Callithrix jacchus: one gene and its partners. The protein of the gene in region 1 interacts with the protein of each later gene in a pairwise test. Links are inferred from orthologs where the notes say so. Each region holds a gene or a part of one and is shown in the gene's direction. Other genes may lie near its edges.

Evidence for each region.
Region 2: the proteins of HABP4 (region 1) and RACK1 interact in a two-hybrid assay, tested with the Homo sapiens proteins (2 studies listed by BioGRID). The link is inferred for Callithrix jacchus from reciprocal best matches to the Homo sapiens genes HABP4 and RACK1.
Region 3: the proteins of HABP4 (region 1) and YBX1 interact in a two-hybrid assay, tested with the Homo sapiens proteins (2 studies listed by BioGRID and IntAct). The link is inferred for Callithrix jacchus from reciprocal best matches to the Homo sapiens genes HABP4 and YBX1.
Region 4: the proteins of HABP4 (region 1) and C1QBP interact in a two-hybrid assay, tested with the Homo sapiens proteins (2 studies listed by BioGRID and IntAct). The link is inferred for Callithrix jacchus from reciprocal best matches to the Homo sapiens genes HABP4 and C1QBP.

What each region holds. Positions count from the first base shown.
Region 1 is NC_133502.1:77,345,831-77,350,116, reverse strand, and holds part of HABP4 (intracellular hyaluronan-binding protein 4), read left to right. Parts: intron 1-710; coding exon 711-882; intron 883-3,644; coding exon 3,645-3,830; intron 3,831-4,286. UniProt on the Homo sapiens protein: Ribosome-binding protein that promotes ribosome hibernation, a process during which ribosomes are stabilized in an inactive state and preserved from proteasomal degradation.
Region 2 is NC_133503.1:73,612,242-73,616,521, forward strand, and holds the end of RACK1 (small ribosomal subunit protein RACK1), read left to right. Parts: intron 1-523; coding exon 524-619; intron 620-940; coding exon 941-1,051; intron 1,052-1,149; exon of another isoform or gene 1,150-1,379; coding exon of another isoform or gene 1,380-1,402; intron 1,403-1,704; coding exon 1,705-1,845; intron 1,846-2,211; coding exon 2,212-2,322; intron 2,323-3,183; coding exon 3,184-3,249; 3' UTR 3,250-3,305; downstream 3,306-4,280. UniProt on the Homo sapiens protein: Scaffolding protein involved in the recruitment, assembly and/or regulation of a variety of signaling molecules. Interacts with a wide variety of proteins and plays a role in many cellular processes.
Region 3 is NC_133508.1:79,326,710-79,331,675, forward strand, and holds the start of YBX1 (Y-box-binding protein 1), read left to right. Parts: upstream 1-1,961; 5' UTR 1,962-2,100; coding exon 2,101-2,266; intron 2,267-2,942; coding exon 2,943-3,006; intron 3,007-4,966. UniProt on the Homo sapiens protein: DNA- and RNA-binding protein involved in various processes, such as translational repression, RNA stabilization, mRNA splicing, DNA repair and transcription regulation.
Region 4 is NC_133506.1:106,968,010-106,972,936, reverse strand, and holds the start of C1QBP (complement component 1 Q subcomponent-binding protein, mitochondrial), read left to right. Parts: upstream 1-1,970; 5' UTR 1,971-2,063; coding exon 2,064-2,304; intron 2,305-2,858; coding exon 2,859-3,009; intron 3,010-4,927.

The sequences.
Region 1 (4,286 bases):
GGGTTACAAAGATTTCTGCCTAGGTTTTCTGCTAAGAGTTTTCTATTTTAGCTCTTATATTGATGGTGTGAGGCAGGAGTCCAACTTCATTCTTTCTTTTGAGGTGGATATCCAGTTGTCCCAGCACCATTTGTTGAAAGTACTTTCCATTCTCCATTGAATTGTCTTTGGCACCATGATTGGAAAAAAAAAAAATCAATTGACCGTAAATGTGAGGGTTTATTTCTGGACTCTGAATTCTATTCTATCAATCTATATGTCTGTCTTTGTTTTCTTTTTAAAACTCATTAATTTAAAGAGGAGAGCTACAAAAGTATGCATTTATGAGCCACTGCTTTAAAACTTCTGTTTATGGTTTCCTGTATGTTATTTTGGTAGCTTCTCCCATTTTCCATAATTGCCTCATTTTGTCTGTCATGCTCTCTGGAAGGGAGTGCCAGTGGTGAAGTGTAATGTTAATGTCATCAGGATGATGATGTTCCCATTTTTCAAAGATTGCTTTGAACACAGGAAGTATCTTCTGTTGGCAGTGATGACATAAAATGTTGAAAATAAAATATGGAAGCTTGTGAGTCAAAGATTGTCTTACCTTATTTACATTTGAGATGCAGTACCACAAAAGTATGTTTAATTAATGGTTATAACTTTAATAAAGTAGACATTTCAGTACCATCAAAAATTATTATTTATGATTATACATCTCTTTATAGAGTTCCTGAGTTGGAGGTAGAAGAAGAAACTCAAGTTCAAGAGATGACTTTAGATGAGTGGAAAAATCTTCAAGAACAGACCAGACCAAAGCCTGAGTTTAACATCCGGAAACCAGAATCCACTGTTCCTTCCAAAGCAGTGGTGATTCACAAGTCAAAATATAGAGATGATGTAAGCATTATATTTTGTATGTAGAGGTAATCTTTACTTTTACCTTATTGGAAGTGAAATGCACCTTTCCACTTCCATCTTGAAAATGGAACATTAGTGGTTGGTGCTCTTGTTTCTAATCAGAGATGATATATGCCCAATTTTACTGTGTCTTTATTGCTCATTAAGGAAAGGAATTGAAACTTTGTGTTACTGACAGAAACGCAAAGCAGTTTGATTAACAGTGCATCTCCTGCTCACCCTGGGACTGTACACACACTGTGTGTTAACTGCATTTTTCTCAAGTGAGAGTTACAGATTGTTTCTTGTACAATTCAAAGTTATTCAAAGGATAATTACACTCTGTATTCCCTAATTAGGTTTACCTTCAGCTCTGATTCTTGATGAGAGCATTTCAGTGTGAGTAGTTGATGACTTTTTAAACTGTGGTTGAGGTGCCATGCTCTTCTGACGGCTTTCCCATGTTGGTTCAGCAGCTTCGCGCCCCCTGCCTAACTGCAGATGTGGCAGAAGATGAGCCCCCAAATTGCCTGGCAGCTTAGTCAGGCGCTGCCACAGTGGCCAGCATGCTGCGAGGGTTGCTCAGGGATCTCCTGTGTTGTGAGGGCCTTATTTCTCAAGACTCACATCTAGCTCTTCTCAGATGCTTCCGTTTTGCAGGGGGAGGTTTCTGGGGAAATATCTAGCAGTGTATGTTGATAGGGATGCCGCTGGTCATCGAGTCACCTGTGTATGTTAGTGAACTTAAGGATAGGTCCATTGAAGCATTCTCATCATGGGATTTAGAATCTGTGTCATTCAGTTACAGCTTGATACCAGTCACTGTGTCAGGGTGGGAATGAGCAGGCACTTCCCCTGTGCAGGGTATCAGTCATTGATTTTCATTTGGAATCTCAGGAATGTTATACTATTGTAGAGTGATTGACACTTCAGTTAGTTTTGTTTTCTGAGTGAATACTTTGATTAGAGGGTATTTAAGATACAGGATTCTCTCCCACCTTCTTGTTTTGGCCAGCCCAAGCTGTAGGAGGCCTTACTACTAAGCTTTGAGCTGTTCACAAGAAATGGCTTTTTGTAGACTAGGTGGCCAGAGCCTTATTTCCCTGGCGATCCCAGGCAGGTGTTTTCTAAGTCCATTAGCGAGCTGGGTTGGTTCTTTACTTGTCCACTTCCTTTGTTCTTTGTTCTAGGCATTGTAAATAAAACTTTCTCTAAAACAAATGTGCTGTCAGGGTTGAAATGTGCAGCTGACATGTTAGGTAAAAATAGAAGCTGCCCTTCTTTAATCCATGCCAGATTCATCCTCCCTGGCTCCAGAGGTCTCTCAGAATATTTGAAGCAAGTGGGTTAGCTGAGTCATCGAGCTTGGTCTCGGTAAAGCACACATCTTGGTCCTTGTTAATCTTAGGGGATTGAGGACTTTATAACATAATCTTGAGGATTATGTTGCTTTAAGAACAATTCTAAAGCAACATCAGCCAGATCTTCAGTTCATCAGTTTACTTTGTTCTGGACACCTGAAAATACAGAAGCGCTAGAACACCTAGCAAAGTTCAGACCTAATAACAACCCCGTGTAAGGCCCTGGGCAGTTGAAGCACTTTGGCGGGGCCAGCTGGAGCTGCAAGTGGAGCCCTTAGACTGGGTTCACCCCGTTTTACCGCCCCATGGCCCTTCCTGCAGAGGCAGCGCCCCGGGACAGAACTTACCAGTGCTCTCCCTGCCAGTGCCAAACAATGCAAGAGTTGATTATTTTGCCTGTTACTATTTTTGTGTGTTTACCTTTTCACAGAGTGCCAGTGCTCCTGGATTGTTTCTCTTCATCCTCTTAGCATTAAGTGTCCAACTACCTAAAGCCTCTGCTTTAACCTGAGACCTTAAAGGGGACGCAAATGTTAAACACGAAGCCCATCATGAGCCTGTGGCCTAAAGGTTTCGATGTGCTCATGGCAGTTGTGTCCCGTTTCCTGGTTGTAGGAATGTTTACTGTTCCAGCACTTTGGAGATTCTCACCCGAGGTCATTGACAGGTTTCCTTTCTGTAGGATTTTAGTTTATTTGTTTTGTTTTGTTTTATCCATTATTAGGAGTTGAAGCCAAATCAAATTTGGATCCGATTTAATTAATTTATTTAATATAGTTGTAACAAGAGATAGAGTTTTAAGTAAAAAAAAAAAAAAGCAGCCTAACTTCCTTGTGCAGCGTTGGTAGAGCACTCAGGTACCTGTACTCTGTTATTTTATAAAATTTCTCTATATTTTGGGTCAGAATTGTTTATTATAAGTCATGTGACTTTTAGCACCTGATATTTATAGTCAGCACCCCTGCTGAAAGGAATTTCTCTGTTCTATTCTGGAAAGGGGACGTTTCCTTATTTATCAAAGCATTTGTGAGCAGATAAGACAGAAAATAAGCAGAAATGAAAGCTTTATCTCAGCAAAATGCACTTAGATATAAAACATGTATATCATTTGCTATGATTGCTCATGCCAAATCTTACATCTTAACCTGCTCAGCTAATAGAAATTTGGTCCCACCCACCTTTGAATCATAGTAAGTTCACGGATGTTTGGAATTGCAAGAATGGGGGACTGCAACAGGTACAGAAACAGCAGTGCTGTCTTCCTTTGTCCAGCGCTGCAGCCTAGGGCTCTGTCTGGCCCCTGCTGGTGTTTTAGCTCCTGGGCAGCACATCGCAGCCACTAAGGCAGCTGAGTGTGGGGATGGCTGTGGACTTGTGTTTGATGCTGTAACTATGTTTCAGATGGTAAAAGATGACTATGAGGACGATTCCCATGTTTTCCGGAAAGCCGCCAATGACATCACATCTCAGCTGGAGATTAATTTTGGTAACCTCCCTCGTCCCGGGCGTGGAGCCAGAGGAGGCAACCGGGGAGGCCGGGGAAGGATCAGGAGGGCAGAGAACTATGGACCCAGAGCAGAAGTGGTGGTAGGTATCGGTATTGTAAATTCTCAGGTGGTTTGCTGAAGGAAGTAGATAAGGACAGTGCCCCAGGCCCAGGATGTTCTAATTTCAGAGGGTCATCAGTTTCTGCAGTTGCTTCTTCCTGTAGCCAGTGTGGGACTGATGTTGGGGCATTTGGACTGTGTTGTAGCATCATGGACATCCATCGGTGAGAGACCATTCTGTAGCCCTGGCTTCCAGGGTCTGCCGTGAAGGCAGTCTCCGGATCGGAGAAAACTCACTCTCATCTGCATTAGATGAGCTCCCCAGCTCGGGATTGAACTGGAACACCTGACGTTTTGCTTCCTGTGACCTGATTATATGTCCTGGGCTCATGTGATGCTGGCAGAGTGGACAAAGTCCTTACTAAGACCTCAAGCCCTTTGTGAGGGGACCTCCCTCACTCGGCTCACCTGCCTCACACTGTCCTCGGCCACGGCT
Region 2 (4,280 bases), on another chromosome or scaffold:
AGAGCAGCCTGGCCAACATACTGAGACCCCCATCTCTGAATTTTGTGTCTACTTTTTGTTGTTGTTGTTGTTCTGAGGCGAAGTTTCACTTGTTGCCCAGGCTGGGGCGCAGTGGCAATCTTGGCTTGCTGCAGCCTCCACCTCCTGGGTTCAAACAGTCCCCTGCCTCAGCCTCCCAAGTAGCCGGGATTATAGGTGCCTGCCACCACACCCAGCTAATTCTTGTATTTTTGGTAGAAAGGGTTTCACCATGTTGGCCAGGTGGGTTTGGAACTCCTGACCTCAGGTCATCCACCCGCCTCAGTTTCTCCAAGTACTGGGATTACAGGCGTTGAGCCACTGCACCCAGCCCCCATCTCTAAATTTAAAAAAAAAATGTCTTGTCTAGAATCTAAAGGGATTCTGTTGAGCTTAAAGGTTTTCCTGGGTTTTTGAGAGGTGCTGTTAGTCATCATCCTACTGGAGGGACTAGCATTTCAGAGGATCAGACTGTTTCCCCTTATTTCCTTTTCATCCACTGTAGGATGAGAGCCACTCAGAGTGGGTGTCTTGTGTCCGCTTCTCACCCAACAGCAGCAACCCTATCATTGTCTCCTGCGGCTGGGACAAGCTGGTCAAGGTGAGCTTCGAGCCAAAGCAGGGGCTTTACCAGTCAGGTTGTGCTCCCAGGTGGTTATAGGCTCCAACTCCCGTGTAAGGCTTTACAGATTCCCTCAGTTGACTCTTTCTCTTGTTACATGATCTGAAGAAGCTAATTGATATCCCTTATAAGTCCAGACATAGCACTGGGTATGTGTCATAATGTAACTTTAAGTGGCCAGGATGTGTTACTGAATGATAAATGCCTATTTTATCCAGCAATGCCAAGCCCTTTTTTGTTGGGTCTGACCCTAGTTGATCAGAGCTAGGTTGTTCACCTGTCAATGTCATATTTATGCAGGTATGGAACCTGGCTAACTGCAAGCTGAAGACCAACCACATTGGCCACACAGGCTATCTGAACACAGTGACTGTCTCTCCAGATGGATCCCTCTGTGCTTCTGGAGGCAAGGTATTTGGGGGCTAGGAGTTTCCTATTCAGTGAAAGACAGTGTCATGGAAGGAGCACTTAACCAGCATCTCTACCATAAAATGACAAACATTAGCCAAGATGGTTTTAGGATAATGAGATGACAGTCTGAGAATATGTTTCCAAAGATTACTATTCAGCAAATGACAGTTAAGGCATACTGTCTAGAAGAAAAAGTTGGGTTGTTTTTTAGAGATGGAATTTTGCTTTTTGCCCATTCTAGAGTGCAATGGTGCGATCTTGGCTCACCGCAACCTCCACCTCCTGGGTTCAAGCAGTTCTCCTGCCTCAGCCTCCCAAAGTGCTGGGATTACAGGCGTGAGCCACCGTGCCCTGAAAAAAGATTATTTTCTATGAAGTTGGTTTCTTGAAGCAATTGATGAGATTGAGATCCTAGTTTTCAGAAATGATAACAGTGTTTATATAAATTGGGAGGATTTTTATTGATAATGTTGGTAAGGTCTTGCGTTAAAGGAAGGGCTTATAGAAATAAATTGGTACTCAAGTCATTAGCTTTCAAGAAACCTGGGGTAATGGAAGACAGGTAAGAACTGATTCTGATGGAATCTTGAGATGGGCAGGATTAACATCTGGAACAGGTCATAGTGTCCTGATTAACCTACCTGTTTGCCCAGGATGGCCAGGCCATGTTATGGGATCTCAACGAAGGCAAGCACCTTTACACCCTAGATGGTGGGGACATCATCAACGCCCTATGCTTCAGCCCTAACCGCTATTGGCTCTGTGCTGCTACAGGCCCCAGCATCAAGATTTGGGTGAGTGTGGATTACAGTTGAGTGAGTACCTGGCTACACTCTCTAAGCCCTGACAATGTTTTGGTTACTATATATGCCATCTGACTCCCATGTGGCAGCTAAGCTTACTCAATATCCACAATTGACATCTGGATAACTCTTTGTTGTGGAGTGCTGTCTTGTACATTTTAGGATGTTTAACAGCATTTCCAGCATCTACTAGATGCCAGTAGCAAACCACCCTTCCACTATGGCAACTAAAAATGCATCTAGGCATTGATAACAAAATCATCCCTTTGTAACTTGAAAATCTTGAGTTATAAAGGGGCTTTTAATAGGGGAGTCCGTCATTGGTAAACATTTTAAGGGTGCTTTTGCTCTCCCCAGGATTTAGAGGGGAAGATCATTGTAGACGAACTGAAGCAGGAAGTTATCAGCACCAGCAGCAAGGCAGAACCACCCCAGTGCACCTCCCTGGCCTGGTCTGCTGATGGCCAGGTAAGTGGGTCTGTCCTCTTAGGTAACTTGGCCAATGACTTTTCTCCCTCATTCTGTTAGTGTATCTAGTCTGTCAGACACAAGAGCAGCGTCTTTGGCATTAAGTGAAATGACAGCATAAGCATAATGCCCTAATTTGCCATGCCAGTGAGTACGTTTCTGCATCAGAGGGGAGATTGATCTGGAGGGCAGTGGCTATCAGCTTTCAGTTAATACCTTGATTAATCTGATCAGTTTTCAAATGTCTAGATCCTTATCACCAGCGGTTTCTTCCTCAAGGAATACATAACCACCACTTACATAATGTGACTGTTGAAGAGAGAGGGTTTTGTCTCATTTTTCTTGCTGAGACAGTCTCACTTAATCTTGCCAAGCTGGAGTGCAGTAGCATGATCCCAGCACATTGCAACCTCCATCTCCCTGGTTCAAGCGGTTCTCCTGCCTCAGCTTCCTGAGTAGTTGGGACTACAGGCGTGCACCACCACGCCCAGCTGATTTTTTTATTTTTTAGTAGAGGTGGGGCTTCACCATGTTGGCCAGGATGGTCTTCATCTCTTGACCTTGTGATCTGCCCACCTTGGCCTCTCAACGAGCTGAGATTACAGGCATGAGCCACTGTGCCCGGCCAAGAGAGAGGTTTCTTACAGACACCCCAGCATGGTGGCACATGCCTATGCGAGGCTGGGGTGGGAGTATCACTTGAACTGCAGGGGCTCAAGGCTTCAATGAGCCAGGATTTCACCACTGCACTGAAGCCTGGATAACAGAGCAAGACTCAAAAAAGCCACTTTTGCTTAATGTAGTGAGACTGTAGAGTTTATGATGCCAACCTGACCTGTCATTGTCATTTCTCCCCTGCAGACTCTGTTTGCTGGCTACACAGACAACCTGGTGCGAGTGTGGCAGGTGACCATTGGCACCCGCTAGAAGTTTGTGGCACAGCTTTACAAATTAAAGGAAAAAACTGGGTTTTTTGACTTTTAGAAGGTGTTATTTTTTTCTGATAAGCAAAAGGGTTTACCCTATCTATATTGCTTATGCATGAAATTTGCACTAGCAAGTTGGACATAAGGTATGTACTAAGTAAACAAGGCTTTGAGCGGGGAAGGGGAGTTAAGTTCTCAGGATTGGGGTAGCATAAAGTGGGATGTTAATGAGAAATCATAGCATTTTCCCTGAACCTAAACCCCATCAGTGTACCACCTATCAGGTGCAGATCATCAGGACCTACCTTCCACCTGGGGAACCTTGAGGGAAAGGACTGATTATTTCAAGGTGGTTGCAGTCAATTTTCAGGAAAAGCAGACTCCTCACGTCTAACCCCTGACACATAAGAATGGAACAAAGATGAATCCTCATTCCTCTTAAGACTTGAATATAGTTCAGAAGACTTCTTTAAGCTTGGCCTGGCAGTCTCTATCAACTTGGGTCTTTGAGGAAAATCAAGAGGTTTTTTGTTGTTTTTTGTGTGTGTGTGTGTGTGTTTTTGAGATGAGTTTTGCTCTGTTGCCCAGGCTGGAGTGCAGTGGCATGATCTCAGCTCAGTACAACCTCCTGAGTAGCTGGGATTACAGCCTCCTGTAACCACACCAGCTAACTTTTGTATTTTTCAATAGAGACGGGGTTTTGCCATGTTGGCCAGGCTGGGCCAGAACTTCCAGCATCAAGAGATCTTGCCATCTCAGCCTCCCAAAGGGCTGGGATTATAGGTGTGAGCCACCAGACCCATCTGAGTTTTTAATTCAACTCTCACTAGAGTTTACAACTTATTTATTCCTCATAATTACAGGTTAAAAGTTTTGGGGTGGTCAGAAAGTATTCATAAACATAACCATAAAGTTGGCCCTACTAAACATTTCCACTGCTGCTAACCTGGCCCTCAACCACTCAGGTTACTCAAGAGGATAGATGCCTTGTGAAAGGCCAGAAGTCAGCTGTTAAACTACAATTAATTAGCT
Region 3 (4,966 bases), on another chromosome or scaffold:
TAGAATAAGAAGGAGGTAGAGAGGTGTGGTTAGGAGCCCACAGCACTGCTCTATGCTAGGGGTCAGCCGGCTGCATTCCGTTTTTCTGTGGCTCATGAGCTAAGAATACGAATGGTTTTTAAAATGTTTAAATAGTTGAAAATATGTAAAGATTCGTGTCATGTAAACATTAGGGCTGTTTTCAAGCTCCAAACCTGAGTAGTAAGTCAGAAGCTTAATATGGTCGGCCAAGCTTAAATTATTAACTATTTGCTCTCACAGAAAACGGTTTCCCTACTCCTTGCTCTAAGCAACTGATGATGACCTTGAGTAGTGGCAGTAGGAATGAAAAGACTCTGAACTGACATTTACAGAGTTTAGGACTGACTCAGGACGGCCTTTAGGAGGTGGAATTGACAGGCCTAGGCGGCATTGGTAGGGGTAAGGGATACTGCACTAGCCTCCTAACTGCTTTCTCTACTTCCATTCCTTGCCCCTTTGCAACCCATTCTCCACTCAGCAGTCATTTTTAAAAAGATGCCCCTCCCTACTTATGACTCTAAAATTGCTCTTCTCACTCTTGCCCTTAGGATATATTTCCAATTAAATATACCTGTGACCCTGCCCACCTCTGCAACCCAATGCCACACTGGAGTCTTATTGAACTACTTGACTTGCATTTCCCGAGATCCCACCTCTTCTCGCCTGTACCCTGTGAGCGGAAAGTCAGCCCTCCACCTTCTCCCTGCTTCCACTCCCAAAATACTTCGTGCTTTTAATTTAATTTTATTTTTTTAAAGACGGGGTTTCACCATGTTGGTCAGGCTAGTTTTGAACTCCCGACCTCAGGTGATCCGCCCGCCTTGGCCTCCAAAGTGCTTGGATTACAGGCGTGAACCCACGCCCGGCCCAATATTTCGTGCTTTTGCAGCTCTCGAGTATTTCCAGTGCTAGCTGTTTAAATTCCTGCCGCCATCAGAAGGCAGAAACTGACTCGAGAACTATTCCATCCCCAGCCGATAGTAGACGCTTAAAAAAGAACGAAAGACGGTGGGTGGAGGACTTCAGTAACATCAGGTGGCAGCCTCAATTTTATCGTTTGTGAAACGTGGATAGTAATCCTTCTATCACATGGCTGTTGTCGGAATAAAATGGAAAAACCAAACAGGCTAGCTTGTTCAATAAATGTGAGTTGAATTAAATCTGATTTGTGGCCAGTAGAAAAAGACATGAACACTCGAAGACACTTCTTTTTAATACATGTGTATGCCTGGTAAAACGGATCAGAAGGCAGGTCCCCATGGAGCACACCCTCGCCTTAAACATGCTAAACGTGCTGAGCCCAGGCTGTCTGAGCCTGCGTGGTCCCTCCAAGGTGACTGCTCCGACAAAAGCGTAAGCTCCTCAAACGCATACGTTTAAGGCAATTCCAGAAACCATAGGCTGTGCCGCCACAACACGGCCATTAAAGAAAAGATGACTTTATGCCTGCAGTCATGTTCTCAGATCACAAGGACTGTATTTGGAGCAGAGAGGGAGGGAAGCCTTCTCTTTACGAAGGGCTAATGCGTAGTCGGGCCCCCCTCCAATCTCGGGTCCGGCCGGGTAATTCCTGCCCAGCATTCGGGCGTGCCTTTTCTTCAGCTGGGACACAACCCTGAACGTGGGGCTAGCCAGCCCGGCGGCTGCCTCGTGGAAATCACGTTCTCTCTGCCCGTCCTCTCGGGTACTCTATGGTTTTTGTGGCCGACTACTCTAATTCTAGTTCCGGTCTCTATGGCGGCCGGCGGAGGCAGGAACGGTTGTAGGTCGGCTGAATTAGCCGCCAAAGGGCCAATGAGAGTGGAGAACTGATAAAATATTATCCAGTAGAAGCCAGGAATTGGGGTCAGGTGGGCAGATTGACAGCAGCAGTGGCCAGTGAACAACGCCTAGGGCGGGTCGATCGTAGGGCTTATCCCGCCTGTCCCGCCATTCTCGCTAGTTCGATCGGTAGCGGGAGCGGAGAGCGGACCCCAGAGAGCCCTGAGCAGCCCCACCGCCGCCGCCGGCCTAGTTACCATCACATCCCGGGAGGAGCCGTAGCTGCCGTAGCCGGCCCCAGTCACCATCACCGCAACCATGAGCAGCGAGGCCGAGACCCAGCAGCCGCCCGCCGCCCCCCCCGCCGCCCCCGCCCTCAGCGCCGCCGACACCAAGCCCGGCACTACGGGCAGCGGCGCAGGGAGCGGTGGCCCGGGCGGCCTCACATCGGCGGCGCCTGCCGGCGGGGACAAGAAGGTCATCGGTGAGGGCCGGACGGGGACGGGTGTGGGGCCCTCGGGCAGCCTGGCAGCGGAACCGTTAGCCTGTGCAGGGCGAGCCGGCGGGCGCGCGGCCGGCGGGGACCGACTCCGCGGCGCGCGGCCGCCCCTCCCCCAGCACCCCCACTCATCCTCACGGGGGCCCGCCCGGCAGGCGCGCGCGCTCTGCCTCCTGCGCCCCCTGTGGACCCCGCGCGGACGCGCGCCCCTCCCCCTGCGGTCGCGCGCCCGCCAACCGCGTGTGCGACGGGGTCCCCTCCCCGCGACCGGCCTCGTGCGCTGTGGCCCGCACGCCGTTGTTCGCGTCTCCCCCACCCAGCTCCCTTCCGCGTGTGCTCAGAGGGCGCGGCGCACCGCCTACGCAGGCCGGAGTGGGCCGGGGCGGCTTCCCCTTCCCTCACGTGCTCTCCGCCCGCGGCCTGCGCACACACCCATTCTGGGCCCGCGCCCCGGGCCTGCCCTGGAGCGCCCCGCGGCTTCAGACTCACCCACGTGTGCGGCGGCGGCGGTGGTGGCGTGGCCCGGCACCCGGGAGGTGGAGAGAAAGGGCTGTCAGGTGGCCTAGCGGGCAGCGTCCTAGGGACCGGAGACCGAAGCCGGGCGGGTTTGGAAAAGGATAGGTGGTAATCGTGGCTTGTTTTGCTTTGTTTTCTTTTCCAGCAACGAAGGTTTTGGGAACAGTAAAATGGTTCAATGTAAGGAACGGATATGGTTTCATCAACAGGTGAGCTCCCGGACCCTGAAGCTTCCATCCCACTGTCTCGCTTGTTGCCTGCTCTGTCGGCTTCTTGGCGCTTGGGAAGCCCCGAAGGGCGTTTACTACCTCTGGTGTATTAGTGTGATTTTTTTTTTTTTTTTTTTTAATTCCTTGACGACTGGAGGGATTAGTGGATCTAGAGAAGGTCTTTGTTTTGCAGCTAAATGTTAATTTGAAGCCAACTTCAAAGGCTTTCTTACAGTACAAAGCAATTTAAAAGGCAAGCAAAGTGAATGAGCCATGCCTTAACAGGGTAAACGGGAAACTACGGTCCTGTACATTTTTATCCTTGTTATCCTTTTCTACTTGATTGAACTCGGTGTTTGAGAGAGTGATCCACTGACATCGGATATTTACACCTTGTTAACATTTTGGGGGTAAGATTTGACGTGCCAAGTATATGAGGTTTTGTCATCTTTACCGAGAGGTGTTGCCTTTTTCACCTTCATTGTAATACCTTAGATAAATTTTATATTAGCACCAGAGAGAAGCTGTTTTTATTTGCTCATAGAATAATGTATCTGCTAGAAAATGGTTCTTTGCTTTCTTCAGTTCTTATTTTTCATTCTTCCTTGTCCTAAAATCATACTGATTAAATCGATTTCTATTAGATTTCTGGCTATAGCTTAGAGTGGCCATAGTCCCTGGTAACTTGACATTGTTCTTGCTTGAAGGCAAAGCTGCAGGCTCCATCTTTAGGACTTACTTTCGGGTTGTTGCTGGTAATGTGCAGTACACTGGATTCCATGGGCTCCCTTGTGAGCCAGGCATCATTTTCAAGATGGCTGCCAAGGCTTAGTAGTGCAGTTTACATGAGTGTAGAGCCCTGGGTATGCCAATAGGAATCTTGGCCTTATAGGTATGGTACATAGTGCCATCTCAGCATTCTCTTACTGTAGAAGACCTAAGCAGATGATTAAAAGAACAATTAAGAATGTTTGTGGAGTGGACAACAAATGGACGAAATCAAGCTTAAGGACAGACAATCATAGCTTGATGAAAAACCGTTCGTTCATTAATCAATCATACATTATCGTGGAAACAGAGTAAGAGAGAAGCATTTGATGGTCTATTCTCTACTTTTGCAATTGTGGGAAAACGTTTTGTTTCTTCCAAAATCTTAGGATTTTCCAACCTTCTATACTGTTGCCACTGTTGTGGCTGTAACTATGTTTTTCATTAATTTTTTGATAATAGCTTATTAGCAAGGAAGGAGGGGAATGCTTATATATGATTGATATACTGATAGCTTTTTAACTGATCTTTCTGAACTTACTAGTGTTTTAGTTTGTGTTTCTGTCTTATTCTGAGTCTCCGAACTAGTCTAACCCTTCAACCAGTGTTTTTCAGATTTAAGTGTGCTTGCCTAGGTCTGGGTACATTTTTTAGCAAGAATAATGTGAGCCATACCTTCAAAATCACTGCTTTTAACCCTTGACCCAATGTAATGGTAACTTTGGTGTGCAGATTTGCAGCCTTTTCAGTGGGTAGATTGCAGTTTTGTATGTATGAAGTTTAGCGTGTGCCATGTTTCGCTACATTTTGTTGAGTGGCATAGGTTATCACATTTTTAAAAATCAAGTTTTATCCAAAATAAGAGTAATTCTTACAAGTATTTCATGAGGTGTCATTCATTGAATATCTCTGTTCTGAATTGGAATCAACTCAATTGGTCATCCTCCAGGGCAAATTGTGAATTGGCTTTTGATGGTCTTTTGTTTGGACTATCCTAACCTCAATTATTTTGTCAAATTGACTGGTTAAAATGTTCTTTATGCTTCTGAACTGGTTGTTTTAATGACTGACACTTTTTGATAAGATGCTGTAAAATCTGACTCCAATTAAATACAGGGAAGGTTTGCTTTAATTAAGGAAAGTATGTGTTAAATCAGTTTGGAAGCCAGCAGTTGGTTCTATATGTGGTTCA
Region 4 (4,927 bases), on another chromosome or scaffold:
TTTTTAAATACTTTTTTTAAAAAGTGAACTTTTAACATAGCTGCTCAGGGATTAAATCAGATTGGAAAACCCATCTGACTCCACATATTCCTACAAAGAAATAAATCGTTGTTTATATTGAGCTGCAGGGGATAGTACACTTTAAACTTAGGAAAGTTAAACGTTTCACAATAACACTGCAATATAATCCTCAGCTACTCTTTTTCCATTGGTAAAATCTCTGATGATGTGATACCTCTTTGCTTCTTGTAAATAGATGCACTCCACCCAGATTGCATGCCTCAGGTGTTTGCCTTCTAGTAATCATGGAGTGTGCAGCACCCAGAGTAACACATATTTTACTACAAGGGGCAGGACTGCAAACACCATGTCCTGGATAAAAACCCTAATGCTGCATTGCTGCCAGTTGCAAAGAGATGCCTGAATGGAAGCAAGTTTTGCACTGTGGGTAAAACTGATTATGTACTGTACTGTGATATATAAATCCTAAATCCAGCTACCAGGAACTGCCTGGAACTGTGGCCATGCATTTTTTTTTTTTTTTTAAAGACCAGTGTGATAATAGGCCATGCATCTAAGATAGCATTCCTTGGTAACTAGAGGGAGGAGGAAAAAAATCAAGTAGGTTCAGGCTTTTGTTTGTGTAGAAATAACTACAGAAAGCTCTTGTACATAATGCTCAAGTTTGCACCCGATGATCAAATCCATTAAAAACTAATCTTACATGATGTGTGTGGCTCGTTTTCTGAATCTCCTTTCCGTTATTCATTGAAAATTGTTTAGAAAATAGCTTTTCTTTTCTTATAAAGGTGTCCTGTGACTCAGGAGTGTTCAGAAGATATTAAGTGTTAGTCTTATCATGAGTTAGTAAGCCATACCTTCTTGGTAGCTTATATGTCCTGTGTATCCTGAGAAGGTGGGATTCTTGGTTCTTAATCTAAATCTGAACCCCCTCTTTGGGTTATATGAATTTACTTGAGCCTCTCACAGAACTCAGGGAAACACATTTACTGGTTTAATGTAAAGGATATGACCGAGGATGCGGATAAGGAGATGAGCTCCCCTCCCAGGGCTACAGCCCTCCAGGAACCTCCAAGTGTTTAGCTCTCAGAGGCTCTCCAAACCCTGTCCTCTTGGGTTTTTATGGAAGCTTCCAAACTTCAGCATCTCTTTCCCCAAGGTATAGGGTGGGACCTTCTCTGGGGAGGGACTTAAGACCCACAATCAGAAATGTGGGGGGAGATGAGAGTCCCGCTATGGGGCCTGTGAAAGGGGAGGAGGAGGGGAGAGAGATTCTATTCTCTGAGGCCTAACACACCCAACATTATCACAGAACACTGTAACAAGGGCTGTGAGAGTTAAGAGCCAGGAACTGTGGATGAAAACCTATACACACACACACACACACACACAGTGGATGAAAACCTATACACACACACACACACACACTGGATGAAAACCTATACACACACCGTGACACCACAGCCTCCCAGGAACTGTGGATGAAAACCTACACACACACACACACACTGGATGAAAACCTATACACACACCGTGACACCACAGCCTCCCAGGAACTATGGATGAAAACCTACACACACACACACACACACACACTGTAACACCACAGCCAGGAACTGTGGATGAAAACCTGTACACACACACACAGAAACACCACAGCCTCCTAGAGGAAAGTGACCGTGTAAGGGTCTGGTAAGAGCTGAGGGGAGACAAGAGTGCATTCCACGCAGCCCAAAAACGGTGTGGCTTGAGACCAGTAGATGGAAAATGTCTAAGCAGCCACCGAAGGGAATTAAACAGCTTCGGACAGCGGCCTCAGGCTAACGCAGCAAGAAAGCTCGCGGAAAAAATTCGAGGCTTCCCGGGCTATACCGGAGGTCTCCAGCAGAGGGCGCGATTCCTCCCACTGGCCTTAGGTCTTCAGAGCGCCGGCGCGGGAAGCGCTTCCTGACGGGGCGGGGCTTCCGGCAGCGGGCTAGGTCGCGGGGAGCCTAGAGTTGGGTAGTCCTTTGCGTCTGCACGTGTTCCTAGTCCTCTCCGCGATGCTGCCTCTGCTACGCTGCGTGCCCCGTGTACTGGGCTCCTCCGTTGCCGGCCTCCGCGCCGCGGCTCCCGCCTCGCCTGCTTCGCCATTCCGGCAGCTCCTGCAGCCGGCGCCCCAGCTCTGCGCCCGGCCCTTCGGGCTGCTCAGCGTGCGCGCAGGTTCCGAGCAGCGGCCGGGCCTCCTGCGGCCTCGCGGGCCCTGCGCCTGCGGCTGTGGCTGCGGCGCGCTGCACACCGAAGGTGAGGTTCATGCTCGTGGGCCAGGGCTGTTGTTGGGGTTTGCGGTCTACGAAAGAAAAACGTAGACCAGGAGTGGCGCCTGCAACCGACCTCCGAGATCTGGGACATTATTCCATTGATTGGCAACCAGCGGGTTAAACCCACGTGTGATCATATTTCCCCACCTCGCCTTTCCACAAGTTTCATTTTCTGTTGGAACGGGGTAGATAAATACTAGAGGGTACCTCTATCCTTAGCTTTAGTCTCTCAAAAGTGGACCTTTGGGAAAGCCCAAGGTCGTGATTGAAAATAGCATAGTTAAATCGTTTGGCAGTGGAAGAGGATGCCTGGAAGTTCTTCTGCTTTACAACAGAAGGTGGCAATGCGTTCGCTGTTGGACGTCCTTAGCTTCGCAATACTATTGTGTTATTTTTACAGATAAGGAAACTGAGGCTTCCAGAGTAAGCATAATAGCAGAGATTAGAAACAGGCCAGATTTCTGGCTACAATAACTTGGGTAATAATTTTATGTTTTAGACTAACTGGCTTCCCTTTTAATGTATCTGGATTTCTAGGAGACAAAGCTTTTGTTGATTTCCTGAGTGATGAAATTAAGGAGGAAAGAAAAATCCAGAAGCATAAAACCCTCCCTAAGATGTCTGGAGGTTGGGAGCTGGAACTGAATGGGACAGAAGCTAAATTAGTGCAGAAAGTTGCTGGGGAAACGTAAGTACTGGTCTGGGGATTCCAGGGCACCAACTCCATTACCCTGCAAGACCCGTCGTGGATCATCCCCAGAAGAGCCTTGAGTTCAGGTGTGGATTCTTTGATAAATGGTTTTCAAGCGAGTGAAGGATTCATTTGGACAAATTTATAAGTTCCAGATAGTTGATTCACTGAACACAAATTTGCTGTGGGCTGATTACTAAGGAGACAAAAATGAACACAAAAAAGTACTGGCAGAATCAGATTGATCTCTGGTTTACAGCGCCAGTAAAGTAGGACCCTGGTCTCTTAATGTCCAGAGTGGGTGAAAATGCAACATGTAACTTCTGTGTAACAGAATGGGGTTACACTGTAGTCAGGGCTGCCATCAGAGGTTGGGAGTTTGTGACCTAAGGCAGCTCTCCCACCTTCTAAGCTAACTGTTGAAGTGTTTACAATTTTTTTGCATTATAGTCATCCATAATCTTATTACACAGATAAACACTTAGTATCTTCCAGGTTTTTAAAATTGAATTATTTTATAATAGACCTTATGATGTATATATAACTTTTTTTTTTTGAGAGGAGTTTGGTTCCTGTTGCCCAGGCTGGAGTGCAATGGCATGATCTCAGCTCAATGCACCCTCTGCCTCCCAGGTTCAAGCGATTCTCCTGCCTCAGCCTCCTGAGTTAGTTGGGATTACAGGCATGCGCCACCACACCCAGCTAGTTTTGTATTTTTAGTAGAGACAGGGTTTTGCCACGTTGGTCAGAATGGTCTTGATCTCCTGACCTCATGATCCGCCCACCTTGGCCTCCCAAAGTGCTGGGATTACAGGTGTGAGCCACCTCACCCAGCCTTTAATTATTTTTTTAAGTGACAGCTTTAATGAGATTTAATTTATATACCATAAAATTTACCCATTTATTGAAGCTTATTAAATTGTTTCTTAGTCCTCATAAAATTATGCATCAGATACCACTAACTAATTCTAGAACATTATTGTCATCTCCAAAGAATACCATTAGCAGTCACTCCTGATTCCTCCATCTAGCCACTGCAGGCAATCACTAATCTACTTTCTCTATAGATTGCCTCTTTTGGTCATTTCATATAAACAGAGTCCTACAATATGCAGCTTTCTCCCTACCCCATGGAGTCTTGCTCTGTCATACAGGCTGGAGTGCAGTGGCAGGATCTCGGCTCACTGCAACCTCTGCCTCCTGGGTTCAAGCAATTCTCCTGCCTCCGCCTCCTGAGTAGCTGGGATTATAGGCGCATGCCTGGCTAATTTCTGTGTTGTAGTGTTGGCCAGGCTGGTCTTGAACTCCTGACCTCATGATCTACCTGCCTAGGTCTCCCAGAGTGCTCCAATTACAGGTGTGAGCCACGCTGCCCAGCCTATTTACCTTTTTAATTGTTGGGTTTTAAGAGTTCTTTAGTTTATTCTGGGTATAATTCTCTTATCACATTAATGATTTGCATGTATTACTTCCCATTTTGTGGGTTTTCTTTTCATTCTTGGTAATGTCCTCTGACACAAAAGTTATTTATTTTGATGAAGTTCATTTTAACCTGTTTTTTTTTTTTTGGGTCACTTGCGCTTTTTTACTTTTTACTTTGCTTTTGATTCACCAAGTGCAACTTGTGCTTTTTTAGTGTCACATCCAAGAAACCACTGCCTAATCCAAGGTTGTGAAGATTGATGCCTTATTTTTTTCAAAGCGTTTTCTAGTTTTAGCTCTTAGTTTAGGTCTCCGATCCATTTTGAGTATGGTGTAAAGTAAGGTCCTGATTCGCTTTGCCTATTGCATAGCGTGTTTTTTCCCATACACAGGTCAGTTGTGTCATCATTTAAAAACCATTTGCACAAGCTTTTCACAGCTATTTGAGGGCCATTAAAAATAACAGTGACGAACATCATTGCAGGAGCTCAGC